3 linked regions of the Struthio camelus genome follow. The protein of the gene in region 3 purifies or fractionates together with the protein of the main gene of each other region. This does not show direct contact. Links are inferred from orthologs where the notes say so. Each region holds a gene or a part of one and is shown on either strand. Other genes may lie near its edges. The genes, in order: AGO1, AGO3 and DICER1.

Evidence for each region.
Region 1: the proteins of DICER1 (region 3) and AGO1 purify together in Homo sapiens (co-immunoprecipitation; 7 studies listed by BioGRID and IntAct, with this or other methods). This does not show direct contact. The link is inferred for Struthio camelus from reciprocal best matches to the Homo sapiens genes DICER1 and AGO1.
Region 2: the proteins of DICER1 (region 3) and AGO3 purify together in Homo sapiens (affinity purification with mass spectrometry; 3 studies listed by BioGRID and IntAct, with this or other methods). This does not show direct contact. The link is inferred for Struthio camelus from reciprocal best matches to the Homo sapiens genes DICER1 and AGO3.

The regions. Positions count from the first base shown.
Region 1 is NC_090964.1:10,042,786-10,050,330, reverse strand, and holds the start of AGO1 (protein argonaute-1), read right to left. Parts: upstream 3,098-7,545; 5' UTR 3,044-3,097; coding exon 3,019-3,043; intron 1-3,018.
Region 2 is NC_090964.1:10,064,915-10,072,259, reverse strand, and holds the start of AGO3 (protein argonaute-3), read right to left. Parts: upstream 3,017-7,345; 5' UTR 2,964-3,016; coding exon 2,927-2,963; exon of another isoform or gene 1-2,926. Other genes in the region: AGO1 (protein argonaute-1), read right to left, coding at 3,298-3,406, 4,029-4,228, 5,132-5,233, 6,199-6,333, 6,825-7,019.
Region 3 is NC_090946.1:67,305,829-67,312,786, forward strand, and holds the start of DICER1 (endoribonuclease Dicer), read right to left. Parts: upstream 3,101-6,958; 5' UTR 2,876-3,100; exon of another isoform or gene 2,811-2,875; intron 2,809-2,810; coding exon of another isoform or gene 2,032-2,808; intron 1,737-2,031; exon of another isoform or gene 1,582-1,736; intron 1-1,581. Other genes in the region: uncharacterized protein C10orf95-like, read right to left, coding at 2,032-2,808. UniProt on the Homo sapiens protein: Double-stranded RNA (dsRNA) endoribonuclease playing a central role in short dsRNA-mediated post-transcriptional gene silencing.

The sequences.
Region 1 (7,545 bases), on a different chromosome or scaffold from region 3:
TTGGAGATAAATCATACGTGCCGCGTCTCGAGGCGAGGTGCTTCTCCCGGCTTTGTTTCTTGGAATAATCCTGTCCTAGAAACGCGCACATGTGATTTCATGTTTCCTGAAGATAAAAGAGATCCCGCAGAAACAACGGCTTCGGGTTTTCTGCAGGGTTTAGCACAGGAAGACAACGGTTAAGATTAACAGCGCGTAGGAAGTTTGCAAGGGATAAAGAAACCTGCAAGTTGGGGAGAAACCGGGTTTAGCTTCGAAAACCACCAGGCGTGTAGACGCTCCTGCCCCAGGGCCCCCCAGCTCCCCTCCGCCGCGCCGACGGGGAGGCGGCGGCAGGGGCACGGCGCCGACGCGGGACGGACGCCCCAGGGAGCCGGCGGGCGCCCAGCCCCAGCCACGCGGCCGGCCGGCGGAAACCGGGCACGAGGCGCGCTCGGCTCGCGGTCGGGACGCGGCGCCCTCCAGCCGCCCGCCGCGGGGGAAGAGGCGCTCCCGGCGCTGCTGCTCTTTCTCGGCGGGGTTTGTTGGTTTTCCGCGCGTGCACGGTGAGCCGGGCGGTCCCGTCCCGTCGGGAGGCACCGTCTCCGCGCCAGCACCAGGCTCGGGAACCAGGCTTAACGTTAAGATGTTGCAGGGGGCGAAAGGGCAGCTCTGAAGAGCAGAGCATCGCAGAGCTCCCAGCGCAGCCCGGAGCCCTCCGCGCCCCCGGCACCGCGCACCACCCCGCCAGACGCGCTCCCGGCTTAAACAAGCGTTAGCTACTGTTAAAAGCACCGACCCATTTCTAAAGCACCTTCACGGAACGACGCGAGCCCCGCGACACCAGCACGCGAGGCACGGCAGCGGCGTTATCCGCCTTTTCCCGGCGGCGGCACAGAGCAGCCCCATCTCGCCCGCGGAGGCGCAGCAAGCCGCTGGCAAAGCCCCCGCTCCCGCGCTAATCTCTAAATCACCGCGTGCAGAAGGCCAATAAATCAGCGCCGAACGTCCCCTTCTAGCTGCCAGCGGTTTGCACAGACACGAAGACGTCTCCGCTACGCTTCAAGCGAACTGCGCCGAAGAAGGATCAAAGTTGGATTTCAGGCGTGCAGCTGCTTTACAGCGAAGCCGCGCCGCGCCGGGCGACGCCGCAGCCGGCCGAGGCGCTCGCGCCCCTCTGCCCGGCTCCCGGCCCCGTTCTCAGGCAGCAAAACTCTTCCGCGAACTGCAGCGGTTTGCGAACCCCGCGCCAGCCGACACGGCAGCCGGGCAGGCGCAGCTTCGAGGAGCGGCTCCCGACGACCCCGCGCGCCCATCCGCGGCCCGCAGCTCCCACGTTTAACCGGGCGCGCGGGGGGCGAACCCCCCGCGGCGACAGCAGAGGAGCCGCTTCGTGCCGGACCCGGCGCCGGGCAAGGAGAGGAAGAGGAGGGAGGAGGATGCCGCCTCTCCTTGGAAAAGGAGCAGCGTGGCGCATCCCGAGCCTGCGCCCCTTTTCTTCGCCCCGGAGGAGCCCGAAGGGGGAAACCTGCTGCCCCCTCGCTGCGCCCACACCGCAGCCCCCCGCCCCCCGGGACCCCCCTCTCCCCCCTCTACTGCGTAATGCCCCTCTGTGCAACCCCACGGCACGGCCCCCACTACTGCCCCCGTTGCACAGCCCTGACCCCCACATTGCACCCCCCTCAGTTCCCCCTGCACAGCTCCCTGATTCTGGGGGGGGGGGGGGGCAACCCCACTGCAGGGTCCCCCCGGACACCCCATCCCTCAACCCCCACTGCAGGGCTCCCCACTGCACACTCCTCACCCCCCCATCGCACAGCCCCGCAGCGCGCCCCTCTCGCCCCCAATGCAGGCCTCCAAGGCACACCTCTCTCCTCACCCCTGCAGACCCCTCGCCCCCCACCGCACACCCCCCACCGCACACCTCTCGTCCCCCTAATATGCACCTCCTGCCCTTCTGCTGCAGACCCCCTATTGCACAACGCTCCTCAGCTCCCTATTGCACATCCCCATCACACACCCCTCAACCCCAATGCAGACCCCCACTGCACACCCCTTGCCCCCCCAATGCAGACCCCCATTGCACACCCCTCGCCCCCCAATGCACACCCCCACTGCACAGCACCATTGCACACCCCTCGCCCCCCCAATGCAGACCCCCACTGCACATCCCCATTGCACACCCCCGCCCCCAATGAGCACCCCCATTGCACACACCTCACCCCAATATAGACCCCTATTGCACACCTCCACTGCACACCCCTCGCCCCCCCAATGCAGACCCCCAATGAGCACCCCCATTGCACACACCTCACCCCAATATAGACCCCTATTGCACACCTCCACTGCACACCCCTCGCCCCCCCAATGCAGACCCCCATTGCACATCCCCATTGCACACACCTCACCCCAATATAGACCCCTATTGCACACCTCCACTGCACACCCCTCGCCCCCCCAATACAGACCCCCAATGAGCACCCCCATTGCACACACCTCACCCCAATATAGACCCCTATTGCACACCTCCACTGCACACCCCTCGCCCCCCCAATGCAGACCCCCATTGCACATCCCCATTGCACACACCTCACCCCAATATAGACCCCTATTGCACACCTCCACTGCACACCCCTCGCCCCCCCAATGCAGACCCCCATTGCACATCCCCATTGCACACACCTCACCCCAATATAGACCCCTATTGCACACCTCCACTGCACACCCCTCGCCCCCCCAATGCAGACCCCCATTGCACATCCCCATTGCACACACCTCACCCCAGTATAGACCCCCATTACACAGCCCCACTGCACACCCCCCGCCCCCAATGCACACCCCCATTGCACACACCTCACCCCAATATAGCCCTCCACTGCACACCCCCATTGCACACCCCTCGCCTCCCAACGCAGACCCCCGTTGCACGTCCCTCGCCCCCCGCTACAGACCCCCACTGCGCACCCCTCGCCCCCCATTGCACACCCCCCCCCCGCACGCTCCTGCAGTCGCCCCCCGCTGCGGAGCCCCCGCCGCTACCTGCTCCCGAGGGTCCCGCTTCCATCCCATCCACGCGGGCTCCGCACCGCTCCGCGCCGGGGGGCCGGGAGGGGGCGGGGGGGGGGGCCGCGGGCAGGGCCGGGCCGGGCCGGGCCGGGGCCGGGGCCGCTGCTGCACCGCCGCCCGCCGCAGCCGCCTCCACGCCTGCGCCCCAGCGCGCATGCGCCGCGCCGCCCCGCGCCCAACAAAGGCGGCGCGCCCGGCCCGGCGGCCCCCGGCGGCCCCTGGCGGCGCGGCGCGGCGCAGCGCGGCCCGCCGCCCTCCCGCCGCCATCTTGGGCCCGCCGCGAGGCGGGAAGGCGGCCGGCGCCTCGCGTGGGGGGGGTTGGGGGGGGTTGGTGGAGAGATGCCACCAACCCGAGTCACGATTTTTCTCACGTTTTGGACGGTCTCTTTCCAAAATCTTAACGGCTCCCGCAGGAGCGAACAACGCGAAGCCGACGGCTCCGGCGCCTCTCCTCGGTATCTGAGGCCGCGGGGCCCCCGCCGCGGCCAGCGTCGGAGGACTCGAGGGCAGCACGAGGTTTCCAGGCTCGTCGGGGACAACGCGATAGAAACCGTCGCCGCTCACCGGCTCGGCCAGGAGAAAGGCCCCGAGGCTTCCCACCTCCTTCCCCCTGTCTCCCCCCTTCCTCCAGACCAGCGCGCTCGCAGAGCGCAGCATGTACCGCGGAGAAGGCGGCAGGGGGGCCCCAGCGAAACCGTGAGCGCGGGCGCCGCAGCTTCATCGCGTCCCCAGGAGGGGACGAGAGCGGCCGCGCTGGAAGCAGGACGCCTCGGAGAGCTTTCCTCGGGCGGCCTTCAGTTATAGAGCCACCAATTAACAAAATGAATGCTTTAATAACTGATGTCCTGCTGTGTTGTCAGCTCACAGGAGCTGAGATGGTCACAGTTCCCTTGGGGGTTTATGATGAGATGCCTTTTACAGCTGAGCTTTTTTGGTTTGGTTTCTTTGAGGCTTTTTTTTTTTTTCCTTGCCAGATTGGGGAGAAAACAGCAGGGGATGTGTTCAATTTTTATTTACTTTTAAGGGTTCTCTGTCCAGAGCCTTGCTGGCAAAAGATCAGGGTTGGGTGCCCGGTTGTCTCCAGCCCGGTGAGCGCCGTGTTTGGAGCCCCCTCTCGTGGTATTGTTGCACCTAAAAGCAAGCAAAACGAGATGGAAAAGCCTGGGCCAGAAGCAACCCATGTTCAACTGTGTATTTGAGACCAGGTCTCACCAAATAGTGGAATCCACAGATCCTACGGTGGAGCGGAACGCAACATGGCGCTCGCATGCAGTTCACGCTACGAGATGTATAGACTATGAGAGCAGAATTGCTGTCCTGAAGCAGAACACACATCAAGATACACCATGAATCAAAATACCGTTAGTTAAGATACCGTGCCGAACAGTTAAGTCGGTTGTCCGTGAAGTTGCTTTACTGAACCTGACAAACCCTGGAACAAGTTCCTCACCCCTCTCTTCTCCTTCCTCCCACATTGCTGCTTTCAGTTATGCTCTCTAAAGGCCTAAAAGCCCTTTACCCTGTTGAGCAGGCAGCCTCTGCTACCCAATGCCCCTCAGCCTTTTAATTATCCATTCTCTAGGCTGCTGGACAATTCCCTGATGAGTTTCCTTCCAGGTTAAGGCACATGTTTACTTTAAAGTACTTTGGAGCTCCAAAACATGAGCAGCCCCAGGGTTCTTCAGTTTGATCCAAGTGATCTTCCCCTTTGAATCATTTTGGAAAGGCACTGGCATCAAAGTTAGCTTTTGCTTCTGAACTACTTAAGCTTGCCTGAAGCTGAATAATCTCAATTCCCAAACCCACAGGATTTCTACTGCAAAAAAAATATTAAAACCCAAAAGTACTGATTTGCTAAAGATGCAGGTTATTTTAAGCAATCATGTGTCCTGAGCTCATTTGTAGCTTGCATGTTTTATCCTCGTCCGAAAGCTTTTTTGTCCTTATCCTGTATTTTTAGGGAGATAGCCGTACAAAAGAGGAAACGAACCCTCACCTGAAATTCAGAGGATGAATAAACATACAGCTCTTTCATTTACTAGTTTCTGACTTTCTAATATAGAATCACTACTCCAGGTAGATACAGTCTATTGACACCATATTTTCTCAAGACATTGCTATATAATTTCTGGGAACATTAAAAAAATAAGCCCATTGTGAACATATCTCTATGTGGTTAGCACAGGCTCTGAAAACAGGCAGTTTTAAGTCCTCTGAGTGTCACTGAAGATGTCATCCATGTATATTTCTATTGCTTTCTAAGTCCTAGCATATCAGAAATAAATATCTTGTGGCAATGAGTTCCACAGGTTACACATCGTGTACGAGTTTTAATTAAAAGTTAAATAATTTAAGAAAGACATTTGTTTACAGGCAACAGTATCAGTTGCTCACTCTGTACATTGCATTTATTAGACATCAACAAGGAAAAACAACATTTGGCACAATAATGCCATTTTTTTTTATTTTTGGACACATGAACACAAAATATCCCTGCAGGCTAAAAAAAATACATTGCAAATTGTACACGACCAGCATCTTATCGCAACGTGGGGCTGCTAACCCACCCATAACAGTTTAGAAAGAGTACCTCGTATTGCTATAGACATACATCCAGTCCAAATTTAATAAAATACAATTTTAAACATTACAAGTCTAACAATATAGAAACAAAAATTACATCATAAGTCAAAATGAACAAATGCAAACATTTTACATTGAAGTTTCAGCTTCTAGACATAGAAATATGAAAATGTCAATAGCAAGGTATATGAAAATCTGTAAGTGATATTACAAGATCTTTCCTCAAATTCACAAGGAAAAAACCTTGTAGTTGAAACAGTATTGATACAATGCCCTCCAAACTCTGCTTTCTTAAAATGAAAGCAGAGTTACTCCCTTGCTATTGAGCAAGAAAAATCCTACAGCACATCCACGAAGGTAGGTTGGGGCGGGGGGGTGGATTCTGTCAAACACCGTATCTGAACAAAAGCTGCCTTTACCCATTTGAAGAGCAAAGCTTGTGATATAGGTAAATGAGCTCTGACACTTGTGTCTGGAACGAGATAATGTACTGCATGAAGCATGTTTGCCTGTATATCACAACCCTGTATGCCCTTTGGATGCTTCTCCAGGCATTAAACTGAACTGTAGTACTTACAATAAGAATAAATAAGCCAGGCTGTCCAAACGTTTGTGACAGGCTAACTAGTGATTTCCAGAGCTTGTTCAGAATTCAGCTGTTCACAAAGCAAGCAGAACTGGTTTGAAAACGGGGTTTCTGCTATTTTTGTTGTTGTTGTTGTTTTTGAAATGTCAACCACGCCCTCCCCAACTCTTTAAAAACTTTGCTACATTTAAAATCTTTCACACCACATAGCTAAACAGTGGCCAACAGGCTTTATTTATTAAAAAACAAAAACAAAAAAAACCACCCTAAGAACTACATCTACAGAATGCACATCTTCCCATTGATTGACACATGCATAACGATTCAGTCAGTCCCAAGGGGTTAATTCAGATCGTCAGGCTCAACCTCTAGACTCGGCTTTCAGACCTGCGTACAACAGTATTGCTGAAACTTTGATCGTAGTTACCACCAAGCAACAGTCCTAACCTTAATGCTCTTCTCCTCTCAAAGTGACAGCACAGCACCCTTACCAGTGTTTCATTACAACAACGTTCTAACGTGAAGATTGAGTTAAATTTCTCGCCCTGCTTCCCGGGGCTAGCTGAGGTCTAACAATCTGTATAGTCTGAGGTCAAATATTCAGTCCAATCACAGGCAAACGAAGGAGAGGCTCTCACGTCACTCAATCTGAACTAGGAGTGCTTGGCACTGGACAACTAACTGGTGATACAACTAAGTATTTCTTATGCACCCTTGATTAAACCAGTTACATTCTTGCCTAGTGCACAAACCCAAGCAATGATCTTTGATTCTATAATCTAAGAAGGGTGCTCAATTTCTCTTAAAGGTGCCAAAGTTCTCCATATACGTCGGGTCAGTCGGAGTTCATTCTGAAAAGGGGTTTTTTGTATTCTCCCTGAATGAGTACTGAGAAAAGCAGCCATCTAGCTGAAGCAGCGGTCAGTCTCCCACCCACATGTCCTGATTTTATTACACAAGTGAGGTATTCTTTAAAAAAAATTAAAAAAACTAAAAAGAATTTTGTTTTCAATCTAAACCTGTCCACAATACGTGCCAGGAGCAAAGTTTGCTTCAGTCCCATTTTCAACAGAAAAGAAAAAAAAGTTTAAACTTAATTTAATGAGACATACTACTTGAAAGAAGGTTATAAAACTGCTTGAAGACTAAGTTCAGTGTACTCTGGTACAACTGAAAAACAGCATTTAGAAATGTAAACTTTAATTTATTTACAAGCTTAAAGACTGAAGGAAACAGCATTTCATATTGCTGAAATTTTGAGGGGGCTGGTTCCTAAGCTTTGGAACAGCAGACAACTTAGCAGCAAACCCCACACTAGTATCAGAGACCAC
Region 2 (7,345 bases), on a different chromosome or scaffold from region 3:
CTCCTGAGGGCTGTTCTGCCCTCATGCACCCTGTTATGTTCAGATATGAGATAAGGGAAACAAACAGCATTCAACAATTGACAGATAAATGAAAGTTATTCCTCTTCCCACAAATCTGCATGCACTCGGCAGTTTTTCCAGTTGCACAACGGACACGTGCGCATTTAGAAGGTAGAGACTCGGGAGCCATTCAGGATGACTGTGTGGGGTTTGTGGCTAATTACAAATCGTGATATGTATACAGGTTAACACCTATCTGCTATGGGTAGCAAAACGCACAGCACCTCAACATGCAATTACTCATTTGCATCTTGGACAAGAAAAGGGTAGAAATACTGAATGCTGGAGCCGTGTGGAAGGTACAGTGCATAGTCCATTATACAAAACATGCGGGTAACTCGAACCCTTTCTAAAACCTCTTCAAAATGGAAATATGGTTTAAAGGGCACAGCAGCTGAGTTTGGCTTATTTATTTCTTTAAAACCATGAAAAACCCAATGCAGAGGGTGAAGTAAGGGCAGAACACGATCTGCAAGTCAACAGCTGAGAGTTTCAGAAGCCATGAAGCTTTTGTGTAGTTAAAATTGCTGTTAAAAGTAGGTGCTACATCAGCAAGTCTTCATTCATAGTTTTCTATGAACAGCCACCTTACAAATGAGTGCAAATCTTAAAGGTCCATTTTACATTTCAAGTCTCAAGGTTAAAAAAAAAATTGTTACAGAGCAACAAGCTGTTTCTGTAAATGCCCACGCTATCTCTTTTCAAATGGCTAAAAATGGCATGTGCTATGCCACAGCTACTAAAAGACATTTCAGAATTCTAGACCCAACTAAAACGTTAAAATAAAAAGTAGAAATCAAAATACCTTTGCCCTTAGCTGCCAAAGAGCAGCAAGGTGCTTTCGGTCATAATGCTGGTGAACAAACTGATTTGCAGAGAGAACCTTGACCATAACCCCCCAGTTTTATTCTCAGTGAGGGGCTTCCTAATACAAGGTGGGTGGGTATAGCCCCTCTGAGATCATTTCGCTTTCAATGAACACAAGCCAGAGTTCTGAGGATGAAATGGGAGAGGTGCTGAATTTGTGTCACTATGCAGGCACTTGTGTATAGGAATGTAGGCGTCTCATGTTGACACTTAGTGTTCACTCATTCCCTACTCTCTAAAAGCCCCCTTAAGAGCTCACTACCCTACTGACCATGAATGGTTCTTGGCTTTCTCCCCATCACCTTGTAGGTATACAGCAGTGGAGTTTGACACAAGGTGCAAAGGAGAACATGAGCCAAATACTGTAGTCTTGAGAAAAATACAACTGTGCTAAATGTAGGATCTTCACAAAACGTGACATCAGTGGGCTCAGCACTTAGTTTGCATAGCATATTGATGTCTTCATTTTTCACAAACGTGTTGCCCCAAAAGAAAACCAGTACACTGAATTCTTGGTATTAGGACAGAGCAATGGGTCAACATGACTAATGCTTTTATGAACTACTAGCAAGGCAAGTTTAAACATCAGAAAGGACAAAATAAAAAGGCGTGCTTTATCAATGCATGCTGACAAAGGGCAGTGCTTGTGATAGGCTTTGAAAATGCGTTCACTTTTGGCAGTAAATTGATAACAGAGCTCTTCCCCTTAAGAGCTCAGTAGCAGTGTACACGTAACTCTTTCTCTCGAAGGAAGCTTTGTGCACATTTTCATATCAACAAAAATCAGATAATCTGCCCACACGCTATTGGTAAGGAGTTGCTACTACTGCCCTGCTGTGCAGAATGGTCATTCTGTACAGCAAAATGAGTCCAAAAAACAGTCACTGTTTTACTGTTGGAAAAAAAAGGCTTTTTCCCCATTACAAACAAAAATTAGTAGGAGTTTCCCCCAGGACAATAACAAGTATTTCGTAAGTCTGACTAAGGAATAATCTGGTGTGCTTTCAGAATAAAAACCCTGTGCATGAAATCAGTGATACCATGACACAAAAGAGCAGCAAAACCTAGCAGCAGAATCTATGACAGTTTGGACATGCTGAAGTCGGGGTACGTGGTAGTTCAGAAAGCGGTCAGCCCATACGGACACGTGAGGAACGCACATGACGCATGGGAGACGAGGGCATTGAGGAATACCCCAAAGCTGCGTGGACTGCAGTTTGTAACGCACGCATCGGACAGGAAACGTTAGAGATCTCTGGCGGGAGCGCACAGCCTCAGGAAGTGCAGTGATGTAAACTCTGAGAATGTTAATGACTTGTGTATTTTGGCAACAGACTCAGTATCATATAAAAATAATGTTTAGTAAAAAAATCCCGGTGTCCATCATAGAAAGTCAGAAAAAAAATAATCGATAGCAATTTCTGTCCTCATGGGGTGAAGATGCCCCCATTTGTCAGAAACAGTTTTAAATAACAAGTAGTACATTGGAAACAAAAATGGGTCAGCAGCCATTAAACTTGTCCTATATGAAAGTGCACATCTTTCAATGGAGTTCAACCACCGTGAGGTTGTGATCTAACACAAACTGCAACTTAGGACCATAAAAATTAACTCCTTCCGATGGAAATATGGACCACCATCAAGACAAGGTTACTATTTTCCTTACAAGATTAAAAACATTGAAATTTTGCAGCATCATAGTAAGGCACTCACCCATGGAAAAGTCTGTGACTGTTGCTTCGAATGGCAGCAGCTAACTAGCTTTTAACACAAGGAAGACAGTTTTCAGTTCTGAGCTAAGTGCTAGGGTGCCTTACATTATATGGGGGGGAATTATTTGGGGGGGAACTGTTAGTGTTAGAATTCTCCTATAAACTAGTTGTTTTTCCCCTTAACCCATTAAAGCATCTCATATTCTAAAATATTAGTTTTATAAATCTAGTCTTCTGTTTTAAGGCTCTAAAAATCCCCTCCCCCCAACCCCACAAAAAATACCTACCAGCGCCTGGTGGGCAACGGAGGACCAAATCCGCCATTTCACAGTCAGGAGTCTATAGTATTGCATCTTAAAAATGAAAACCTGCTTCTGCCTCCTGGAAGTTTTATCCCTTCCTTAAATGCCTTCACGTGTTTGGTCAGGTCAAAATTTTGCAAAGCCAGAAAAATTAAAAAAATAATCAGTCTCTTCCAATCCTACAAAGGTGTTGGATCTTTCTGTCCCGTGGTGCTGGTCTCCTGCCTCAAATCGACGCTGCCTGCCCTGCAGTGATTTCTCATTGGAAAAAAAACAAGGTGTCCCAATGCTTCCTTTTTTGTATGGCTCCTACAAATCTGAAAGCTTTCTTGAGTGAGGTAACAAAAGTTAGGCTTTCAAGCAAAGTACATGGTACGTAAAGTGTCCTGATGAACCTGCACAGCCTTCGCCAAGGCTTGGGGGTCTCTGCCGTTGCTCTGTCCAGATATATGGCTGCCCTCGCCGCTGAAAGCGCAAGAAAATCACTGCGTAATTATTTAAGGCTTTCCCCGTAGGAACGTTGGGAAATCCCCGCGCAGGTCAGGGACCAGGATGCTGGATGCCATCTGCACCTCTGCCTTGCACCAAGGTCAAGGCGAGCCCCCACAGTCACCTCACGGCAGCTCCCGACCAACGGACCCAGCCCACCAGCCACCGTGGGGGATGCGAGACCCCCACGCTGTGGCGCTGGGGCCTGGCGATCGCTCACCTCTTCCTGGCTTATTGACGCCGCTGGGGAGAAGGATGGTGGCACGCGGCTGTCCCCGAGCACCAGCATGCTAGGTGCGCTGGGAACCGTGCCCAGCATGGCAGAGATGCCGGCATCCCGAGGAGGCTAGCAACGCTCAAACACCCCGAGGTGGTCACTGCAGGGCCTGGGCGAGCCCAGGACGGGGTATTAGCCCCCTTTATCCCCGCTCCTGCCGGGCTGAGCCCTACGAGGACATGGCTACGCGCGAGTCTCCCCAGGAACGGCTCTGCAGCAAAGCTGCTCCCATCCAGCCGCGTTCAGACACAGAAGCAGGGTGCCGCTCACTGGCTGGTCACCCCTGCGGTCCCTGCTCCGGGGACGCGCGTGGCCGCTCACCTGTCGTGCTCCTTGTCCACGAGGTGGTAGCGGGCCCTGAACGCCACCAGCCGAGCGTAGTAGGCCGGCGCTGGGATGGAGACCGAGCGGGTGCAGCGCACGTAGGTATGGCACAGCTGGTAGGTGAGGATCTGCAGCTCATCCGCGGTGAACCGGTTGTCATCCCAGAGGACGTAGTAGTGGGACGGCCGGCTCGTGCCCTGGGGAGGAGAGCGGGCGGTGTGGGAGGTGCTGCCCGCGCCCAAACACGAGGCGGCCGCAAGCGCTGTGCGGGAGAGGGGCCCGCAGGAGACGTCGCCCCCTCCCCGAGGTGAGGTCGGTTCACCCCATCCATCTGCCTCTCATTTCCACGCTCTATCCTGCCCTTCCCTAAGCCAAGGGCACCGCAAGACAGGAAAAAGCACTTTGCACCGAGGTGCAAACCAGCGCTAAAGCAGCTGCCCAGCCGCCCCGTTGCCAGACGCCCCGGGGAGCGAGCAGCAGCGACCTGCCGACCGGCGCAGCGCACCGCCTCCCTGCTGCACCGAGCCGGGCTCCCCCGCGGCTCCCCCTGAACCGGGCCAGCTCCGCGCTGTCCTTGCAGGCAGAGAGGAAGCCAAAAAGCCTCCCTTGCGGAAGCAGCTATAAATCAAGTGATTCAAGCCACAATTTTTTTCAGTGCAGCTTCTGACTAATCTTGGCTGCCTGAAGGAAGGCAGCTGCAAAGCAACCCGCCTGCTCCGGCCGGCTGTCCCCAACTCTCCACCCGCAGCCAGACCACGGATCCCGTCTGACGAGCAGGAGCACCGCGAGCCCAGCACGAGACGCCAGCTGACAAGCTGCTGATTTGGCCTCTCCAAAGGAGGAAATTCTCCAAGAGATCCTCGGCTCCAGGAGGGAGAGTAAGTAGGTGCCATGTACCGCAGCGGCTGTGCCATCCTGGCACCTGCTCCCCCAGGCGCTGCAACGGCCGCTCGGACAGAGCTGCCCACGTCTCCAGGGCCAGCCTTCGCCTTCCCCAAGGGAGGCGGCAGGAAGGGCCCCGTCTCACGTGCGAGAACGCAGCTCACAACCACAACAGAGGAAAAACGGCAGGATCACAACATCAGCTTGGAGCACGGTACCTGAATGCCTGCATGACTGCACAGGTAGAAGTCAAACTCAAAAGGGTGGGTGATATTTGTATCTACTGTTGTTCCCGCTGGGATGTTCCCACTCTTCCCAATCTGCAGGGAATAAAAAGAGATCCAAGCACCACAGTGTTGGGTTATTTCCAGTTTGGGAGCACCGTGCCGAGCAGTTCCACAAGCGCCTATTAAGTGGGGAGCAGAAGCACCTCTCCCTGCTCTGCCCTCTGCCCAAACAGGCTTGCTGGCATTTCCTGCCAGCATCAACACCAGGCACGACACTCAAACAGAGCAACCTACAGCTAAGGGGAAGCAGGCAGGCTGAAGGCTGGGCACCGGCCCATCCTGCTGCAGGAACGACGATTAAGTGGGCAAAAAGTCCAGGGATCTCTGCAGACAGTTTACGCTAGAGCTTCTGCCGTAAGGTATCACGGCTCTTATGCCAAGATCAAAACCTGTTCTCAGTCCCAAGGTTAAATCCTCATGATCAGGTAGAGGCAGAGTCTGGTCAGATTAGATCAAAATTAAATTTAGATCAAATCTAGGAAAAGTTATAGCAATCAATGAGTTACTCGGTGCTTTTGTTGCACAGGTAACACTCTCCTCCCAAACTCACAATTGCTCGATTCACGCCCTCAATAGCATATACACCTGCAAGGCAGAACAGCCCACCGCAAGTCCTGTTTTTTGGACTTCTGCTTGCACAGCACAAGATGTGAACAAGCTGTGAGCAAGCATGGGGTTATTCCTCCTGCCCCAATGTCAGCAGCTACAGCAATCACCAAAACAACAGATGTTTTCAAGCTGACAGAGGCCGTTTCAAGAGAGTCACCAGGATCATCTGCACCCAGTAACTCATAACAACAGCAAACAGCTGCCTGGATTTCTTGAAGCAGCCTAATCGGCACAGATGCAAGAGTCAGCTTAGCAGCGTGTTTCAGGCAGGGAAGAGGGCTCTGCCTGCCAGCAGGGCGCTTTCCACCCTGCGCAGCTCCGGGCTGGCTCTGCGTTAATGCCAGCGACGAATCGGACACCGCCGGCCCCCGGCGCTCCGCAGCGCTCACCCGCTCGTTCTTGTCCGCGCAGAAGAGGCGGGTGTGATGCCTTTTCTGGACAACGATGTAAGTGATGCCAGGCTGGTAATCCTTTTCCAGTTTGATGCAGGCGTCTCGGATTGCCAAGAGCTCATAGTGAAGGATCTAGAGACACAACCGCGCGCAGAGTGAGGCAACGCACGGGCTGGCTCCCACGCCCAGCTGCTCTCATGCACCCGTAGGGCACCCGCAGGAGCCGACGCAGGTTTAGGCAGTGGCAGGAGCAAGAGACCTAATCCTCTCCCCTGCGAGCCCTCCTGGAAAAGCTGCCTCGGCACGGTCTATACCCAAACACAAGTGGAAAAAGAGGAGAGCAAAACACCCGTTGTCCCAAGCTGCTTGGTGGCCGCAGGCTGCCCTGCACATCCCGAGTGGACTCCCAGATGCCCAGCACCCCCAGAGTTGCAAGCCTTTGGCCCAGCTCCCGCCAGCAGAATTAGCCCAATGCCTCCAGTGTGCACAAAGCCTTTCAGCAAACCCAACAACCTCAAACAGCACAAATGCCAGCAAGGCAAACCCAGGCCTTAAAGCCCCTTCCCTCTAGCCAGAGGCAGGTCGGCTCTGCCGGCCCAGCACGGCGCCCAGGGGTTCCTCACCTGCGGGAGCTGCCCCTCGGGAACGCCGTCGCGGTAGAAGATGATCCTGGTAGGTTTGAAGCGAGTGGATTTGTAGAACTGGATGAGAAGCTCCCTCACCATGTAGGACAAGTCCTCGATGATTTCCTGGCGAGGACGCTGCACGCGCACCGTGGCACAGTACCGGCTGGGGTGGGCATCCATGCTGCCCACGACCTGCAGTGACAGAGGTGAGCCAGGCCCACGAGTTACAATAAGGAGGACGGAGGGGACGTGGGACATTCCTGGCCTTCGAACACCCACAGCTGACAGCAGGCCCGAGCCGTCCCCGAGCTCCCAGACAGTGAGAGAAGAGAGCAAAGACCAAAAAGGACTTCCACGGTGGTGGCCACATCTTGGTTTCATGCTCTGCATGGTCCTCACTGGAATTTCCAGCGAGACGGCGGGCTGACACCGCCGAGCCACACAGCCGCTACGTGTGAACGGGGGTTTTGACTGCTCTGCCCCTGCTTTGCTCCTCCTGCCCAAGAGCCGGGGAGAGC
Region 3 (6,958 bases):
ATGTCAACCTCCAAGTTTACCATATCCATTTTACTAAGTTACTGACCTTTACAAGAAGGATAAACACCTTCTATTTGTCTCTGCCAGTAACTTGCATTTGGTTACAGAGAGATACAAGTTTACCCAGTTCATACTGAAAGGCAACATGGGTGAAGCAGTGATACTCAGTTTCTGTAATAAGGTATGCTAAAGCAACTTTGCACCACCTATGAACTTTCCTGAAGAATGTGAAAAAGCCCTTACTAATTTTTGGAATGGGAAATGAGAAAGATCTAGGGAATATACAAAAAAACCAAGGGAACAGTGTTTTGAGTTACAGGTTCAGCCTTTTTGTTGTTGTTAATCTTTAAGCTACAACTCTTCAAGGCATTTCTCAATCAATCAGTGTAATTTATGTTAAAACATTAGAATAACATTGTGTCGGACAAAATATCTTTCTAGCTTGTTGGCTTCCCTCTACTGGTGACCAGTGGAGGACACGTAGGAAGGAACGTAATAGCTAGGCAAGCAGTACTACTTTCCACTGACCAGTCACCTTGACATTTTCTAAGTCTTTGTGCTTGACAGTCTCCGATGAATTTTTTTCTTTACAAACCAATTATTTTGACCTCTATGTAAGGTTTTGGCATTCCCAATGTGCTGTTGAAGCAGGTATTCTAGCTAAACAGAATGTGAAAGATTGTCTTTTGTTTGATTTGAATCTGTCAACTACAGAAACCTCAAAGAAGCGGAGGGGAGGGAAACCCTAACAACTGCTCCTAACTTGCTTTTTTCACAACTATATTGCATAGACATCTCTCTTATTCCTCTTCTGGCATCTCAACTGGCTACAAATTTCTAGTACTTAAGCCACCTAGTCAGCTTTCTCTCTACCTTTTCTTAGTCTAACATAACCTTTGGCATATGGAAGAAAGATACACCCAAACTGCATGCAGTGTTAAAAGTAAGGGTCCAGCATGGACTTGCACAATAGCATACTGATGCCATTTGATTGTCAATTATTTGTAAATTCTAACATTATTTTCTTTTTACTGATGAGTACTGAGCTGCCATTTTCATTGAACTCTATCAGATCAAGATACTTTCCTAAACAGCAGTAGCTAATTCAGAGTCTGAACAAATACATACACATTTTTAAATCCTATGGATTAAGAACAATGACGAAACAATTGGGAGATCATACATGTGCACGCCCCTTCCAGCTGAAAACTTCTAGTAGCATCTTCAAGCCTTTTATATAGTTATACAGATTACAACGTATCTTGTAAAGACAGACAACAGGAAAGTCCCTCTTAAGGATTTAGGACAATAATTCTGGCTTAATAGAAATCAATTCCAGTTTGCATCTGTATCAACTTAACACAAAAAACCCACCCACACCCACAAGGAAACCCTCACATCTATCTCAATAAAAAACATGTATGCTGTTTGCACTTCAGCTGGGCATCCGAAATGGTCTGTAAATCAAAAAGCCCTTCAAACACAGTAAAACAGCGTAAACCAAGTTTCTGCAAAGTTAATTCTGATTTGATTCGCCCTTTGTCTTGTTTCTTTGAGAGTGGCAACCACCTTCCAACCTACATGCTTTCATCAGGCGAGGCACTGCATATCTTGAAGCTCAGTATCCTAACACCAAGAATACTCATAACTCATTATCTGAGGCGCCAAGCATCCTCCAGACTTTTAGCAGTTGAAGACAATTGCATCAGTCACTTATATTTTGGAAACAGTCATTTCTATAAATAAACAAAGAATATTTCAAAATGTCATTGCTACAATCCTTTTTCTATCTATTGAGGATTTTCTACATTATCTATTATCTCACTAGTATTAAATCCTATTACAAAAAATATTTGCTTTTTCATCTTTTGTCTTTTCAGCCTAAGATCACACAGTATAAGGTATGCCCTAACCACGTTGCCACTGCGTTGCCGCTCTATGCGGACAGTCCTCACTTAAATTGGACGAGGATGGAGGAAAAAAAGAAAAAAGAAAAAGAAAAGCAGAGAGCTAAGAATTTCATATAACTCCTTAACCGTAGCACCGAAGAGTGGAAACACGTTTGCTGCCCTGCACTCCTCGCCCCAACCCCCGCCACGCAACACGGCACAACCGCTCCGGGAAGCCGCAGCCCGGAGAGGGCAGAGCGCGGGCCCTCAAGCGCGCACGGCGGCAGGCCCCGAGCGCGGCTGCCCGCGGGGCGCGCAGCGACGAGACAAAGCCGGCCGAGAGGGGCCGGAGCGCGGCGGCGGCGCCGGCCGGGCCCTGCCGCCACCCGACGCGCGGGGCCCGGGCCCTGCCGGCGGCGGGAAGTTGCTGGGGTCGATGGCGGAGGTCGGTGCTGGCGGCGGCCGGAGCAGCGGGGCGCCCGCGGGGACGGCGGCTGGGACGGAGGCGGGGCAGGACTAACCGGGGCCAGCGGCCGGAGGGCGGGGAGGCAGCGCCCGCCGCCATTCCACCCCCCGGCGGCGCGGCGCGGCCGCGGCGGGGGAGAGCGCGGGCCGGCGCGGGCGCTGGGCTCCGGCACCCGTGCCCGGCCGCCATGCAGCCGCCGCGGCGAGGGCAGGCGCGCCTGGGCCGCCATCTCCTACCTGCTCGGACGGGACCCAGCCCGGCGCTTCCCCCCACTACAGGCCGCGTCTCATTGTGTTGCTGCCGCCGCCGCCATTTCCCCGCCGCCGCCTCCTCGCTCCCCCCAACTGTCAGGTTCCTCCATTCACCTGGGCCCGGGATAGCCTCCTCCCCCTCCCTTCCCCCTGCGCTGCCGGCCCTACGCAAACGGAGCACCTCCCCACCCCTCCCGCCCATACCAACAGGGGCCGCCCAACGCCCGCAACGCAAGCCCGCTCCGAGAATGTCACCCTGCGCAGCTCACACGCTCCACATCCCCGCAGCATGAAAGGAGCCAGGCGATTGGCGGCAACAGCTGGGTAAAAGGTGAAAGGTTCACAGGCTAGCCAATGAGATGGCGAGATACAGCAGCGGTTGAGGAGATGCGGGGTGGTCCAGGGGCTCACGTGTGTGCCCTCTCCCCTCCCCCGGCCGGAGGAGCGCGAGGCGCCGAGCCGCCGGTGCCGTGTCTCGTTCCGCCTCCCCCCCCCCCCCCCCGCGCACGCGCTTGGGCGGGGCTCGCGCGCGAGAGGCGGTGGCGGCCGTTCGGCTGAGGCGAGGCAGCACCCGCCATGTTGGGAGGGGGTGAGGCTCCCCAGGCTGGTGCGGGCTGTGGGGACGGCGAGGCCGCCTCCAGGGAGTTTTTCTTGCCGCTGAGGCAGGGCTGCTCAGGGCGAGCAGAATCTGGGCCTCCCTCGCTACTCTGTTGCTATATCCCACTTTTTCCTTACGCAGAGGCAGTCATTTCTCTGAGGAGTATCCTCCCTGCCAAAGGAAAAGAGCCGCTCTTCCACCATGGAGCTAGCGCCCTCGGCTCTTGCTGGCGCTAGCCCCAGACAAGATGGATGTGGGTCTGGCTGCTACTGGTCAGCAGCCACCTCTGCTCACTGCTGCTCGTCGAAGCTGGCAGAACAGAGCTGCTGTGCGATCTCATCCAGCTGGTGAACTGTGTTTATGACTGCAAGGAGATTTACATCCTTACAAAGGAAAGTTGAACAGGTCTCTCTCATCACGGTGTCAAAAATGAATGTTTCGCAGCAATAAAAGTGAAAGGTCTTGGAAGCCATTGCCACCACAGGACAAATAGTATCAGTGGTTCAAGAAAGAATAGATTGATACTGTCCATAAACAGATACCAAAGAGAAGGAAAGTTAGGGAGATAGATACCTCCGAACATCACAAAGTCAATGACAGTGGAAGAAGAAAGGACCACAGGCAGTGGCGAGGTTCTTGTACTCCCTGAACAGCACTTCCTTTTGCAATTGCTTGAGGCAGAGTATCAGCTAGCTGAACCACGGGCCTCATTCCAGTTTCTTGTCAACATTTACTTGCTTAAGTGACTTTACTAACTACTACTACTACGTTAAGAAAAAAAAAAAAAACCTGAAATCCCTTGGGTTAAACAGACAGTTGATGCGGGGTAACTGTTTCTCCAGTGTCAAAAACCTGTGCCCACAGATGAAGAACCCAAGATAAGGGAAAAGTATGGTGCTGAAACATTAGCAGAACACAATTTTTCTGGTACTTCACATACTACCATTTTCCACCTTTTATTTCTGTGACGCCATTGATATCAAAATCTGGAAGCTGTGCCCTGGAAAAACTGAGGTGAAACTTGCAAGACAATGAAAGAGCTTTGAACAAATCTAAAGTATGAATTGGGCTGCAGTATAACCAGAAAACAAATGAAATCGCTGACCAACTGTGCTACAAGATGGATGTAAGCAGTGCAAATCTGTACTGTTAATTCAGTTTTCCTACTTAACTTTTTCTCCATGTCCTTCACTCATATCCACACATATCCAAAAGCACCATTACTTTGAAGTAATTTTTATGCTGTCTGTGCAGAGAAAAATGTGTTTTCCACATCAAGTATACTTTACCATAGTAATGAGAGCAATACACTTAAAGCTCAGAAGAACAAGACTACAAACCTGCCCATAGTGCCAACGAACAGTCAAGTCTGTGGACTACTCATACATCACTACACCAACAATGTAAAGATTTAGCCACATGTGGGCAATGTGGTCGTTCTTGTGCGAGGAAATCTTTAAATAATGTAAATTTACATACCTGGCTCTGTTTTGCCTGCTCCTGGCACCTCGTCTCCTCAGTGGATAAATTTGGTTGTATACTGTATTTCACTGATCCTGTTGGCCCTGCAAAACACTGCAAGCTGTTTCAGGTGTGCAAGTATAGCACAAGTTACGTTTGTGGTAGTCCAGGCAGGCAAGTTAGGACTATCGTAAGATCACATTTACTTACACAGGGATTGGAGATCCTCCTTGTTCCATAACAGATTATAATAAGATCATAAATTTAATAAAAAGCTGCCTCTGGCTAACCACTCTCCTTTTAAGTTGTGCTAAACTTTATGCACATGCAGTGGAAGATCTGGCACTGGAGATGCAGCCTTCTTCATTCCATTCCCACTCAACCAGGGATTTACTGCCTTGCATAATGCAACTATGTGTGCCTACAAAATCAGTTTGAGAAGGTAAAGTTGACTGGAGCACTATACGGTTTAAACTCTAGTAAAATGATTTGGGGAGAAAAGTGATTTGGAGGCCTAGAGTATTATCAAATTAAGTGCTTTCTTTACTTGGTTAAAACCTCTGTCGCCATTTAGAACTCTTCTTCTGGAATGCTAATGTTATTAAATATTGAAGTATTAAGTATTTTTGTAGCATGCAAAGGGTATCCTTCTGTTTTTATGGATGGAAGACTAATTCTATCCCATGATAAAACCTTAAGAAGAGGAGCAGCTGTTAAGTCTTATCCAGTGGGAGCTGTCAGAACACGTGTCTATTTTTCCAATTTTAGCTGAAGTACTGAAGAAAATTAGCATTCTTGATTATTTCTAATGTAAAATAGAGCAGAAGGAAACTCTCTTCAATCCTTTGCAGGCCATGGTTAAATAATGAATTTTATCCAATTTTATCCAATTCAAAGAGAAGGCAAGCAGAATTCTTAAAACACAGAAAACAATGCATATAAATGCCAAAAGAATTCTGGAAGTTATTTTTGTATAAAGAAAAGGATGTCTTTCTCCACAGCTACTTCCTCCTTAAGCCTGCTGACAGGAGTTTGTGATTTAAAAGCACAGTTAGGATCAACTTTGTGCGGTACTTTGTTATTCCATCACCTCTAGCTTCTCTCCTTTGTAAGGAATGGATATTTTATGTCATATGCTTGTATTGTGACAGCTAGCTGTCAGAGTTTAACCCCAAATCAAAAATTGATTTTTATGTTGATTTCACAAATGTCTTTAAAAGATTTGTAAAGAAAATTAAGCTGAATTCATCAATGCAATACAAAATTCTAAAAATCCCACATATTTCCAACTACTTGACATTCAATGTTTGATTAAAAACAAACAGGCCATTGGGGGAAAGGAATTGAATAGCTCAGCTAATTAAAATCCAGAACAGCATAAATGAATAATTCACCAAATTATAGCTTTCTCCATTTCTTTAGAACTGGAAATACTGATAATGAGATAACTGTTGTAAGACAACAACAGGAAAACAGAAACATTTCTCTCCCTTCCCCTTTCCAAAAATGTATGTTTTGTTTCTATTTTTTTCGTATTGGGTAAGAAAAAAAAAAACCTTTGTGTTTAGGTTAGAAAAAAGCAAAAATGCAGTTTCTGCAAAACTCAGTAATTAGCCTTGTGCATGCTATAGAATTTTGAAATTATGCCAGCAGAAAATAGGCTTTGTGCTTTTTGATTTGATTTATCTTCTCAAATTCTAAAATGGATTCTGAAGATAATTCTTCTTGCAAGTTAATGGTGACCTCTGTTGTTCTCTGTTGCTGGTACCAGCCGTGATGCTGTTTTGTCCCTATATCATACACTATTTCAATAATATACTTTGAAATAAGCTGACAGTTATCCAGAAACAACTGCAGGCCAGAGTGTTGTAAGCAAGTTTCTGGATAGGAAAGGATGTGACTATTCTGCACCCACCTTCAGAAAATTTAACTTGAGACTTTCCTCTCAGCCAGTCTCTTGTCTGGCTACCAGGTTTTTTAGTTCATAGTTGTGAACCACTGCAGAAAAGAGACAGTTACAAACATTAAGTGTGGCTACACTGCTAATAGTAACATATGTAATGTATTATGAGAAAAAGATGCAGGTGTGACTATGGAGGAGGAAGTTGAAAGAAAGCAAGAACCTATATTTGAACTGAATCCATTCCTAAAATTGGAGCTGAGATTTTAAAAAGGTGTGAGGTTTGCACAAAGTTTTGGTCCCCTCTAAGATGCTATTTGCAATCTTTTTCCTTAGTGCTTTCACACTTCAATGACCCAGACTTCATAACTCTAAATAAGGGTATTTTCCCTA